3 linked regions of the Coturnix japonica genome follow. The main gene of each other region encodes a partner of the protein of the gene in region 3 in a complex. Links are inferred from orthologs where the notes say so. Each region holds a gene or a part of one and is shown on either strand. Other genes may lie near its edges. The genes, in order: SMYD2, TIMELESS and PARP1.

What was found.
Region 1: the proteins of PARP1 (region 3) and SMYD2 are in contact, whole or in part, in a crystal structure (PDB 9CKC), measured with the Homo sapiens proteins. The link is inferred for Coturnix japonica from reciprocal best matches to the Homo sapiens genes PARP1 and SMYD2. Residues at the interface, in NP_001609.2 of Homo sapiens: Thr526, Leu527, Lys528, Gly529, Gly530, Ala531; in NP_064582.2 of Homo sapiens: Thr105, Leu108, Val179, Asn180, Cys181, Asn182, Gly183, Phe184, Thr185, Glu187, Leu191, Ser196, Ala203, Met205, Tyr240, Ile241, Asp242, Ser257, Tyr258, Asn380.
Region 2: the proteins of PARP1 (region 3) and TIMELESS are in contact, whole or in part, in a crystal structure (PDB 4XHU), measured with the Homo sapiens proteins. The link is inferred for Coturnix japonica from reciprocal best matches to the Homo sapiens genes PARP1 and TIMELESS. Residues at the interface, in NP_001609.2 of Homo sapiens: Gln846, Lys849, Pro850, Phe851, Leu854, Arg878, Ile879, Ala880, Pro882, Asn928, Lys940, Lys943, Gly944, His946, Tyr992, Asp993, Ile994, Ala995, Gln996; in NP_003911.2 of Homo sapiens: Asp1036, Gln1040, Pro1043, Val1045, Pro1046, Leu1047, Thr1048, Glu1049, Glu1052, Glu1053, Glu1056, Ser1074, Gly1075, Gln1076, Glu1077, Thr1078, Phe1079, Arg1081.

What each region holds. Positions count from the first base shown.
Region 1 is NC_029518.1:18,623,232-18,626,829, reverse strand, and holds part of SMYD2 (N-lysine methyltransferase SMYD2), read left to right. Parts: intron 1-227; coding exon 228-295; intron 296-1,953; coding exon 1,954-2,056; intron 2,057-3,598. UniProt on the Homo sapiens protein: Protein-lysine N-methyltransferase that methylates both histones and non-histone proteins, including p53/TP53 and RB1. Specifically trimethylates histone H3 'Lys-4' (H3K4me3) in vivo. The activity requires interaction with HSP90alpha.
Region 2 is NC_029544.1:1,738,072-1,742,360, forward strand, and holds the start of TIMELESS (protein timeless homolog), read left to right. Parts: upstream 1-1,423; coding exon 1,424-1,496; intron 1,497-2,462; coding exon 2,463-2,616; intron 2,617-2,695; coding exon 2,696-2,810; intron 2,811-2,907; coding exon 2,908-2,970; intron 2,971-3,619; coding exon 3,620-3,721; intron 3,722-3,816; coding exon 3,817-3,972; intron 3,973-4,048; coding exon 4,049-4,182; intron 4,183-4,260; coding exon 4,261-4,289. Other genes in the region: lens fiber major intrinsic protein-like, read left to right, coding at 11-175, 250-639. UniProt on the Homo sapiens protein: Plays an important role in the control of DNA replication, maintenance of replication fork stability, maintenance of genome stability throughout normal DNA replication, DNA repair and in the regulation of the circadian clock.
Region 3 is NC_029518.1:14,826,204-14,829,801, forward strand, and holds part of PARP1 (poly [ADP-ribose] polymerase 1), read left to right. Parts: coding exon 1-171; intron 172-972; coding exon 973-1,041; intron 1,042-1,836; coding exon 1,837-1,969; intron 1,970-2,688; coding exon 2,689-2,884; intron 2,885-3,598. UniProt on the Homo sapiens protein: Poly-ADP-ribosyltransferase that mediates poly-ADP-ribosylation of proteins and plays a key role in DNA repair.

The sequences.
Region 1 (3,598 bases), about 3.8 Mb from region 3:
ATGTTGTGTCCTGAGCAGGCACAAGCATTCGACTGACAGTAGTTTGTAATCCTGCACGTTCCTTTGGATGTGGATTTGTTCTTCACTTTTTGAGATGTCATGTAGTTTCTCCATGAATACTGGTGAGATGTAAAGAAAACTATAAGCACATTGCTGCTCGTAACTTTTAAGTATGAGAATGTGATATAAATTGACCAGAATCTGAGTTAGTCTCCCTTTTTTCCTAGGTTAACTGCAATGGTTTCACGATTGAAGATGAAGAACTCTCTCATTTGGGATCAGCCATATTTCCTGAGTAGGTTGAGTTTAATAGTGAAAGAAATAATAAAAACAATTCATTTAAAAACAAACAAAGGTTCTTACATATGCTTAGAACTAGATCTGTATTGAAAGAAATTAAATCAAAGAATTAGTATTAATTTGTCATGTTTAAAATGTGCTAACTAATAAAATCTGCCAGTGATTTGCAGCAGTTCTGCTTATAAATCTGGTAAATGTGGTAAAATTGTACTTGGAAGATGTTTTGAAGTCCTGTAGCTCTGACTCTGAACTGTACACAGGTCGGTAGGAGACAGACTTACTTGGCTAGCAGGTTCTGGACAGGGACATCAAGTAATGATCAAAGCAAAATGAAAAGGATTGGAAGTGACTTGCTTTATCCACAGGTTTCTGCATTGCCTGGGTATTATGCTCCACCTGATGTTAGCAAAAAAACCCATCCCTTCTATCTTTGTTCCTTTGCAAACCATATATCTCTTTCATAACTTCTTTCAGCCTTTCAGCCTTTCAGATGTTTTAAAAACTGCCATGCTTTATGTTGTTACGACAGTGGGAAAAAAATATGTACAACCTCCTCAGCTTTACAAACAAACTGCAAATGTTAGTCATTAACTGCAGTCTGTTGACTGGGAAGTACAGCTCTCTGTGAGGCAGTCTAACTTTTTTCCCTTCAAGTCTCTGCTTCCCATTCTGCTTCTGTTCTTTGCAAACTCCACACTGCAAGTGCTAGCAATTTCCCCATGAGGTGTGGATTAGTAGTAATTATGTCAAAGCAATTTCAAATGTCCTGGTGCCCAGTTAGAGAAGGGCTTGATTTGCCGTATACAGGTCCTTGCTTCAGCAGGGCTGCACTGTGTATTTCTTATCCCTGAAGGCCGTGAAATCTCATCCAGGAACACAGTCATGGTGGGAATAGAGTATGAAACCAAGATCCTTTGGAACTGAGTGCAACACCATCCTTTGTAAATGCTCAGCATCTGAGCCACTATGAAAAGACATTTTTATTATTTCAATAGCTTCGAAGAGAAAGAATTAAGATTAAACGTTTTATCTTAAGTAAGCAGCATATTGCACTTCCAAGCTTGGTATCAGAGGAAAGCACTTTTCAGTAGCAGTCTTGAGGTTTTTTTGTGTAACATATGTGCTGGTATATCAAACAGAGATCTCCTTCACACTTTAAGGGTGGAGGCTGTTTATGTTTGCATAGAAGTGAGATAAATTCTTAACATTGATCTTAAATGTGTGCAGCAACTGTATTTGCTTGTTTCCTTGTACCTAAATGGGTTTCTCTTTCTTTCTCCTAAGAAGAAAATAGTCTGTTTCTTACAGATAGCGAAATATCTGGTTGCTATTAGTTAAGGTGTGCAAATAGCCTGTCAGCTATATTGTAGAGCTGTAAGAATGGGGAAATAATAACTTGCCTAGTCCGGCTATAATAAGATTTTAAAATCACAGTGATCCATTAAAATGGCCATTCTCCATATTGATAGGATAAATAAAAACACAACAGATTTTCCCCAGGCTACCTTCATATATTAAGCCTCACTAAGAACAGCTTGCAGAGGAAGGCTGACTCAGTCCTTTCAAGCTTGTTTGTTTTATGAAGTGTTGCTTAACTTTTTGCCTGTTGCTTTTGGTGGGAAGGGAGAAAAGTTCACTTTTCTGCCTTTACAGTGTTGCATTGATGAACCATAGCTGTTGCCCAAATGTGATTGTAACTTACAAAGGGACGCTGGCTGAAGTCAGAGCTGTGAAAGAGATTGAGCCTGGAGAAGAGGTGAGTACACTATGCTTGAATGTACTGCAGCGCTGTGTACGTGTGTCCTAAAACAGAATCCATCCCACTTTTCATTCTTTGTTCAGATTAGATGACAGTTTAATAATAAGGGGGGAAGAATCTCTTGTTTCTCAGAGAAGCCTGAGATGTAGCTTTAGAAAAGTTGGGGTGGTACTGGAGGACTGAAATGATTCTAGGAGGCGGTGTCCCATTTTGTGTTAAAACAAGGGATGGGCACCTGCATCAGTCACTGCACATCTGCCAGCCTCTGTCTCAGTTTATCTGTCTGTAAAAGGAGGCTTAGTTTGCTGATGTTTGGCTGGTGCTTTGAAATTCCAAGATCAAAGAAAATTATTACTGCCGTAATACTTCCCAGTATAATAGTAATGGAAGCGAAGCCAGAATAAACAAGGTAAATGGGAACAGATAAGTCCTCTAACTTCTGTTTCAATCCCATGTGTTGTGTGGATGCTCTGTCCAGTCGTATCACTCAGCAGAGTTTAGCTGTGGAATCACAAAAGAACCTGAGTATCTTTCTAATTGGAGCAAAGCTGAACAGTGATGGATAAATTAAGACCCTGGTAAACCTTCTCAGTCAAATAATGAACTTGGCAGCAGAGAATATTTTTACTTCAATAAAATTTTAAAAAATAATAACAAGTTCAATTAAAAATCTGTGTATTAGGCAGGCTTGGGGAAGTTGTTCATGTGTCTGCATGGGATGAAAATACTCTGAAGATGGAGTTTGCATGGAGATTCATTGTTAATGAATTGTTAATTCACGAATGTTAATTTAGCCTTTGAGGTTAATGCTGATTAAAACAAGTTCAGTTTTGATTTTGACAAGTCCAGCTGATTTCTGAAGTATGTAACAGAAATTCTGGTGAAGGAGACAGGGGTGGTTTTCCTGGATTGCAGCTGTTCACCATTATGAACCGAGTGACATCAGTTGCTGGGACAGGGTAATTCAGGTGACCACCTTCTCAATGTGCTGCTTATGGTCTCACTGCAGTGTTGGCAGTCACTGCAGATGCACTGTGGTAACGGACAGAGAGTTTTGCAATTTTCCCATTGAGTCCAGGCATTTTCAGCTTTTTTGGAGAGCAATTAGAAGGGGAAGTGAGGAGTATTTTACCTTACTGATGTCTTTTGGTTAAACAGTGTTTTCGAAGCTGCATCGGTTCTATAGGATCTCATTGCTTTTCTGCGGTCTCTATTCTGACATTTAAACGGACCGGTGATTTTACTTGGGCTCAGAGCAGTCTTACGGCCTGTGTCTCCACCTTCAGGTTCAACGTAGGCATTGCATCAGAAATTGAAGTGCTGTAAATGCTGCTCCTGCGTTTTGCATGCTTGGAAGGGAGGAGTGTGGGAGAAGCTGTGAGATCATAGAAAAAGATTGGGAGTGTACGTCACATCAAATTACACGTGCGTTTCGCTTTGAAATAACTGAAAATGAGGAAATGAAACTAAAAGTCTTTTTTGGTCTGCAAAATTATCAACAGCACCACTGGTGTATTTCTTGAGGGAGACATCGTTTAA
Region 2 (4,289 bases), on a different chromosome or scaffold from region 3:
CCCCCCACAGCTGCACCCCAGTGTGGGTCCAGGTCAGGGCACGGTGGTGGAGCTGCTGCTGACGGCTCAGTTCATCCTCTGCGTCTTCGCCAGCTTCGATGAGCGCCATGATGGACGCCCCGGCTCCGCTGCGCTGCCCGTCGGCTTCTCCCTCGCCCTCGGACACCTCTTTGGGGTAAGGGGGGGTGGCAGCCCCATGGGGTAGGGGTGGGGGGCAGCATTCACCCACCACCCCCTCCTTGCCCGCAGATCCCATACACTGGTGCTGGTATGAACCCTGCACGCTCCTTTGCCCCCGCTGTCATCACCCGCAACTTCACCAACCACTGGGTAAGTGGGGGGGACCCTGCGGTCCAGCTCAGTCCATTCCAACCCATCATCCGACCTGTCCCAGTCCATCCCAATCAGCCTCAACCCACTGCAATCCCACCCAGTCCATCCCAGTATAACCCAGTCCATCCTATTCCTACCCCAGTCCATCCCAATCAGTCCACTGCAGCCCTATCCCAGTCCATCCCAGTCCCATCCCAGTTCTATCCCAGTACATCCCAGTCCATCCCATTCCTGCCCCAGTCCATCCCAATCAGCCTCAATCCACTGCAGTCCCACCCAGTGCATCCCAGTGCTATCCCAGTATAACCCAGTTTATCCTACTCCTGACCCAGTCCATCCCAATCAGTCCACTGCAGTCCTGTCCCAGTGCATCCCAGTCCCATCCCAGTTCTATCCCAGTATAACCCAGTCTATCCCATTCCTGCCCCAGTCCATCCCAATCAGCCTCAACCCACCGCAATCCCACCCAGTCCATCCCAGTCCATCCCAGTCCATCCCAGTCCATCCCATTCCTGCCCCAGTCCATCCCAATCAGACCACTGCAGCCCTATCCCAGTGCATCCCGGTCCCATCCCACTCCATCTCATCCCAACCCAATCCATCCCACTTCTGTCCCATTGCCCCCTATGCCCCCATCCCACCCACAACCCAACAGCCTGCAGCAGCCCCCAGTCATCCCCACCTTGGGGGGGGGGGGGGGGGGGCATCCCTTATCACCCCACTCAGTGATCCCTTTCCTCCCCACATTTTTTCCCCTTATCTCGGGTGGGTGGGGGGTCCCCTCGCCTCCCCCCCCCACGCCGCCCCGCTCCCCAATTCCCGTAAGGTTTGTTTCTGGGCGGTCCGTTGCTCGGTGCCGGGTTTGGCTGGCTTCTGTTTTTGTACGAGCTGGCGCTGTGTCCTCGGGCCGTCAGCATGGCTGAACGCCTGCCGTGCTGCGGGGGGAGCCCCCCCGTCACCGCGCCCCCCCGCCGAATCTGCTACCGGCTGAACGCTGGAGGCTGAAGACTCAGGGTCTATAGGGTCTATAGGGGCTATAGGGGCTATAGGGGCTATAGGGTCTATAGGGGCTATAGGGTCTATAGGGGCTATGGGGGCTATAGGGGTTATAGGGCCGCCCCCCCCCAACCCGGGGCCGCCTTTGCTGGTGTCGGGGCGTTGCGGTGCGTGTGTGTGCGGCGTCGGTGTGCGTGGGGGGAGTTGGCGGAGAGGTCGAACGGCCTCACCCCCCCCCGCAACAACCCCGGCCCCCCCCGCCGTGACCGAGCTTCTGTGTTCGGTGAAAATTAAACCTACGCTTAATTTTGTAACGGCTCTCGTGGGGGGGGGGGGGGATATGGGGGGTAATGGGGGTAATGGGGGTATGGGGGTAATGGGGTAATGGGGGGTAATGGGGGTGTTATGTTGTGTGGGTTGTGGATATGGGGGGGTAATGGGGGTATGGGGGGGTAATGGGGGTATGGGGGATATGGGGGTATATGGGGGGGTATATGGGGGATATGGGGGGCATATGGGGGTGAGAGATATGGGGGGTAAATGGGGGGGTAATGGGGTGAGGGGATGTGGAGGGGTAATGGGGGGGGAGGGATATGGGGGGTAAATGGGAGTAAATGGGGGGTATATGGGGGGGTAAATGGGGGGTATGGGGATATGGAGATTAATGGGGTATGGGGGTGGGGGTAATGGGGGGTTATGGAGGATATGGGGAGGGGGAATATGGGGGGTTAAATGGGGGTATGGGGGGATATGGGGGCTAATGGGGGTGGGGGGCAGAGCGCGGTGCGGTGACTTCCCGCGCCCCAGGCGATGTCCCGCCCACGGGGCGGGGCTACAGCGCAGCGTGAGCCTTTCTTAAAAGGGCAACGTCGAGGTGGGGCCATTGAGGGGAGCAGCGCGGTGCGGGGATAACGGGGGTGGGCGAGTGTTCACCGCAAGGGAGGGTGAGGGGGGAGAAGCGCGTTACGGTGCGTGGGTATTGTTTATAGTGGGCGGTGCGTGGAGGAAGGGGGGGGGGTGACCCGGTGGGTGCGGGCGTTGCCGCTTGAAGGCGTCGGGGGGGGGGGGGGGGGGGGGGGGGGGGGGGGGGGGGGGGGGGGGGGGGGGCGTGTTCTGACCGACCCCTCCCGTAGAGAGCGTGAAGGATTTGATCCGGTACCTGCGGCACGAGGATGAGAGTCGGGACGTGCGGCAGCAGCTGGGAGCGGCTCAGATCCTACAGAACGATCTGCTGCCTCTGCTCGTTCAATACCCGCAGGATCGGACCCTGTTCGATACCGTCATCAGGTACCGGGGTGTAGGGATGGGGGGGATGGTGCGGGGGCAGCATGGGCTGGGGTCCTGAATCCCACCCACACCCCTATAGGCTGATGGTGAACCTGACACAGCCAGCGCTGCTTTGCTTCGGTAAAGTGCCGTCAGACGCCACCGCCCGGCATCACTTCCTGCAGGTGCTGTCCTACCTGCAGGCGTATAAAGAGGTGAGGATGTGAGGATACAGCCATAGGGGGGGTCTTCAAATTCCCCCCCCCCCCCCCCGAACACGCACACATGGTGCTCATAAGGGGTTTTCTGCAGGCGTTCGCCAGTGAGAAGGTGTTTGGGGTGCTGAGCGAGAAGCTCTATGAAGTGCTGCAGCTGGTGGGTGCTGGAGGGATATGGGGCTGAGGGTCTGGGGCTGAGCTATGGGGCTAGGGAGGAGCTATGGGGCTGGGAGCCTGAGGGGGTGGCTATGGGGTTGAGGGCCTGGGGGGGTGGCAGTGGGGCTGAGAGCTGGGGTGGGGGGACAATGGGGCTGAGGGTCTGGGGCTGAGCTATGGGGCTAGGGGGGAGCTATGGGGCTGGGGACCCAGGGCTGTGGGGTTGAGGGCAGGGTGGGGGTGGCAGTAGGGCTGAGAGTTGGGGTAGGGGGGACAATGGGGCTGAGGGTCTGGGGCTGAGCTATGGGGCTAGGGGGGGAGCTCTGGGGCTGGGGGCCCAGGGGGGTGGCTGTGGGGTTGAGAGTCAGGGTGGAGGGACAATGGGGCTGAGGGTCTGGGGCTGAGCTATGGGGCTGGGGGGGATCTATGGGGCTGGGGGGGGATCTATGGGACGGGGTCCCGGGGAGGTGGCTGTGGGGTTGAGGGCCTGGGGGTTGGCAGTGGGGCTGAGAGTCGGTGGGGGGAGGGGGAGACAATGGGACTGAGGGTCTGGGGGGGAAGATAGGGAGCTGGGGGTCTGGGGGTGGAGCTGGGGGTCTGGGGGGGGGTCTGGGGTGGGCTATGGGGTTGCTGACAGCCATACATTGCAGGACTGGGAGCAGCGGCAGGAGGAGGACACGCTGCTGATCGAGCGGATCCTGCTGCTGGTGCGCAACGTGCTGCACGTGCCCCCCGACCCCGCTGAGGAGCAGGTATTGGGAAGGAGGGGGGGGGGGGGTACAGACACAGGGATCCCCACTGTAAGGTGCCCTACGTGCTGCCCACCCCCCTCTGTGCTGCCCCTCAGGGTGTGGATGGCGATGCCAGCGTGCACGACCGCGTGCTGTGGGCTCTGCATATCAGTGGCATGGATGACCTGCTCAAGTTCCTGGCCAGCGCGCCGACTGAGCAGCAATGGGCTCTGCACGTCCTTGAGATCATCTCCCTCATGTTCCGTGACCAGGTGAGCGTGGTGGGCACGGAGACCACCCCCAGCCCCCCATCCAGCTCTGTTGACACCCCCTAATCCCACCCTACAGAGCCCGGAGCAGCTGGCAGCGCTGGGACAGGGACGGGTGGGTGCAGAGTGTGGGGAGGACACACAGGAGCTGCAGAGTCTGAGGCAGCGGGAGCTGGCAGAGCACAGAGCACGGATGCTGCAGCGCCCAGCCAGGTGGGGAGGGGGCTGGAGGGGGGGTCAGGGCCCTGTCGTAAAGCCAACATGGCTCATCATGTGCATTCTCCCCTCCAGACACTCTCGTTTCCGTGGTTCCTACGTCA
Region 3 (3,598 bases):
TTCTTAAGGATGTGAAATCTTCCAGCAAGAGCTTTCAGGAGCTTCTCTCTCTCCATGCCATTTCACCTTGGGGTGCAGAGGTGAAAACAGAGCACCAGGAGGTGGCGGTGGATGGGAAGTGCAGCAAGCCCCCAAATATGAAGAGTGCTGGGAAGATCAAAGAAGAACAAGGTGAAGAATGAAGTTGTTGTTTCTCCAGGGGCCTGTTTATTGCTCTGTGTGCACAAAGAAAATCTGGGTATAGTCCAGCCTCATCCTTTCCTAGAGTTCTCTCACTGTTTGGTTTTTTTCCCTCCCTCATAGTAAATTTTAAATAATGAAGATTTAGGTAAGATCAGGTTTTAGTGAGTATGAAGTTATCTCTTGACAGCTTCTGTCTCAGTGGCACTTTCAGAATCATAGAATCGTTAAGGTTGGAAAAGACCAGTAAGATCATGTAGTTCAACTGTCAGCTCATCACCACCATGCAGTAGTCTTCACAACTGCCACAGCAACCTTGCATTATTCATGCTGGAATGTGAATAAAACCATTAGATGTGCTCAACTTCTTTTTCCATAGCCCCCAAGCTTTTAGCTTGTGTTGTTCAGTTTTGTGTTATTGCCACACAAACAGTAGAAGGATCTGCGTGAGTACTGAATGTCCCACGTGCCCAGTGAAGTTTTAAAATCCCACTTCAATACAGCCACAAACGTGACCTTCTGTCATGTAGTTGGAAAAATGATATTGGGGTCAGGAGGAAGGAAGGTAGATGTTATCTGGGGAGATCTTGGTTTTCATTTCCTTGTGGGGGGAGGCAGCTGTGAATTAGCTGCTAAAGGCAGGTAGAAAGCCATTGAAGTGCTGGGGGTATTGTACTGGGAATCTGATTTGAAGTCTCATTAAGGTAATAATTATGCAAATTGGGAATTTATATCTTGAATCAAGTCAAACTGTATTGCCTTTGAAGGAAAAATAACTTCTTATCCCTGCAGGACCTAGCAAGTCTGAAAAGAAAATGAAGCTAACAGTTAAAGGTGGAGCAGCAGTAGATCCTGATTCTGGTAAGTGCAAACAATAGCACCAAAGTCTTCAGGATGCATGGCTTGTTTGCAGCATTCTTATTTTTATCTTTCTGTGGAAGTAAAAGGGTTTGCAGTCATTGATGTAAAAGTTAAGGGGGCTGTAAAAGGAAGCAGAATTCTTAAGATAGCTTTTCTCACTATCGAAAGAAGGCTATTGATTGACACTTTAAAGCTTGGATGATCTAGGATATTCCAGTGCATCTTTCAGGAGGTTCATTTAAACTAAGCTATATTCATTTTTCAGCTTCAGAAACATGTTGGAGGGGTGGATAAAGACTTAGGCAGCAGTGCCTGGCATAAGCGTTTGCCTCAGGACTCTTTGAGCAGAAGCAACTGATGCTGCTTTCCAAATTGATAATGTACAGGCATTGTCCTTAAAATTTGTACTGCTGTCCTTCGAATTTGTACTGCAACCAAGGCCAGCCTTCGTTTTTTTCAGTCTTTTTTTTAATGTGACACCTGTAAAGTTATGTCTCTCTTGAGAATTCTTCTAGCCAGTCACGCAGTGTTCAGTGCTAGACTCCTGGTTGCCCTTTCTCAAGTGTACAGTTTTTCTCAGGTCAGGGTTGAGGTTCATTCTAGTGCACCTGAAACCATGTACCTGCAATGTGTACAAAAGTAAGATTTTAATAGATTTTACTGAGCATGTTACCACTCTTCTTTCTGATATTTTGATAATTTTCTCGCAATTTTGAAACACTTTTGTGAACATGAATGTAGGAAAGAAACCTAAAATGGTAACCTCTGTATTCTAATTCTGTTCCTTCTTTGTAGGTTTGGAGGATTCTGCTCATGTCTTTGAAAAAGGTGGGAAGATTTTCAGTGCAACTCTTGGCCTGGTGGATATTGTGAAAGGAACAAATTCCTATTACAAACTGCAGCTGCTAGAGGATGACAGAGAGAGCAGGTGAGTTCAATTTTCCCCTGAAATGACTTTGTTTGCTTTTTTTCCTACTGAGTTCTGGAATTTTGGCTTCTACAAAAGGAAGAAATAAGTAAAATGTTGCTGTAAGGAGTTATGGATAGATAGATATGTTTGTTTTAAAAGGTGGGAGGAGCTAAGGGGGAGCTGTTGAATTGTTTGAATTCATTTGCGCATCGTGGGATGAGTGAGGTGCGTACAATGGATATTCAATTAACCTAGTCCTAAGAAGACAGGAGGGTCTCAGTGCTCTGTGACTGACAGCAGCCCATAAAAATACAGGAGATTTTTCTGTTTTAACATCCAGGAGCCCACTCATAAGGTCTGTGATGTCGGGAGTCTTCCCCATATTTGTTGTTTTTTTTTTCCCAAATACATGAACTGAAAAGTCTGAAGATGTGTGTTTGTAAAATATTGACTCAAGTGGTAATAGCCTCTTTTTTTCTTTCCCCTTTTCTCTCGTGCTGTGTGTGCAATCATCTTCAGAGCTGTACGTCTGGTGTGTTTACAGCAGGTGTTCTTTACACCTGTTATTGGACATAGATGCTGTGGTGGCTCTTCTGTTGCGTTCTTGCAGAATGTCTCCTTAAATTAACAACATGCAAATGGCTGATTCACAGTTGCAGAATCGGTTTCATTTGGGCTGAGGTCTATAGAGCCAGAACCTTTACATCTGCTTTTTTTTCTTGGGTTTCACTTCTTAGGTACTGGGTGTTCAGATCCTGGGGTCGTGTGGGCACTGTCATTGGGAGTAACAAGCTGGAGCAGATGCCATCAAAAGAAGATGCTGTTGAACATTTCCTAAATTTGTATGAAGAAAAAACTGGCAATTCTTGGCATTCAAAGAACTTCACCAAATATCCCAAAAAATTCTACCCACTGGAAATAGATTATGGACAGGTAACTGTTAAATGTCCCTATGCCAGGTAGAGCATTGCTCAGCTGCTTTCCTGTAACTCTTCTGTGCTCGTTGACACTTTAACAAACAAAGGGATGAAGTGCAGGGGTTTTGCTGCACAAATTATTATGGTAAGCACAGCAAGGAGACTGCAGGGGGGACAATTATTCTTGTTTACTCTGTGTAATCTTACAGAAGTTAATTTGAGATGAAGTAAGCAGTCATTTCACAAGCTCCCCATTTTGTTCTATTTAAAATTTCATCTATTTTCTGCATTCAAAATTCTCCCAAATGGTAAAATGAATCTTAATGCAGCCCAGTGCTCAGTGTGTATGTTGAGCAAGCTGATAAGGAGAAAATATTTGTTACCAGTAGGATTTGGCTATTTAGACAGCTATACTAAATAGGAATTCTATCCCTTCTACCCGGTGGGAGTTTATGTACTTGTATAAAGACATACCCATAACTTAGTCTATTTTTAGGTAACATAGCTGAATGCTGCTAATAGCTATAAAGACATCAGAGGTTTTGAAGCCATTGTATTTTTCTGTAGCCATGTTACTGGATGTCGTCTTTCAGTGTGAAGCAGTCCATGGTTAGCTTTCTTAATGGAAATTTGAATATTGCAGCAGGAAACTGTCTGTTATACTGCGGTGTGCAATGGCACTGAAGCATCTGGCAGATGCTTTGTGGATGAAACACTCTACCCAGGAAAA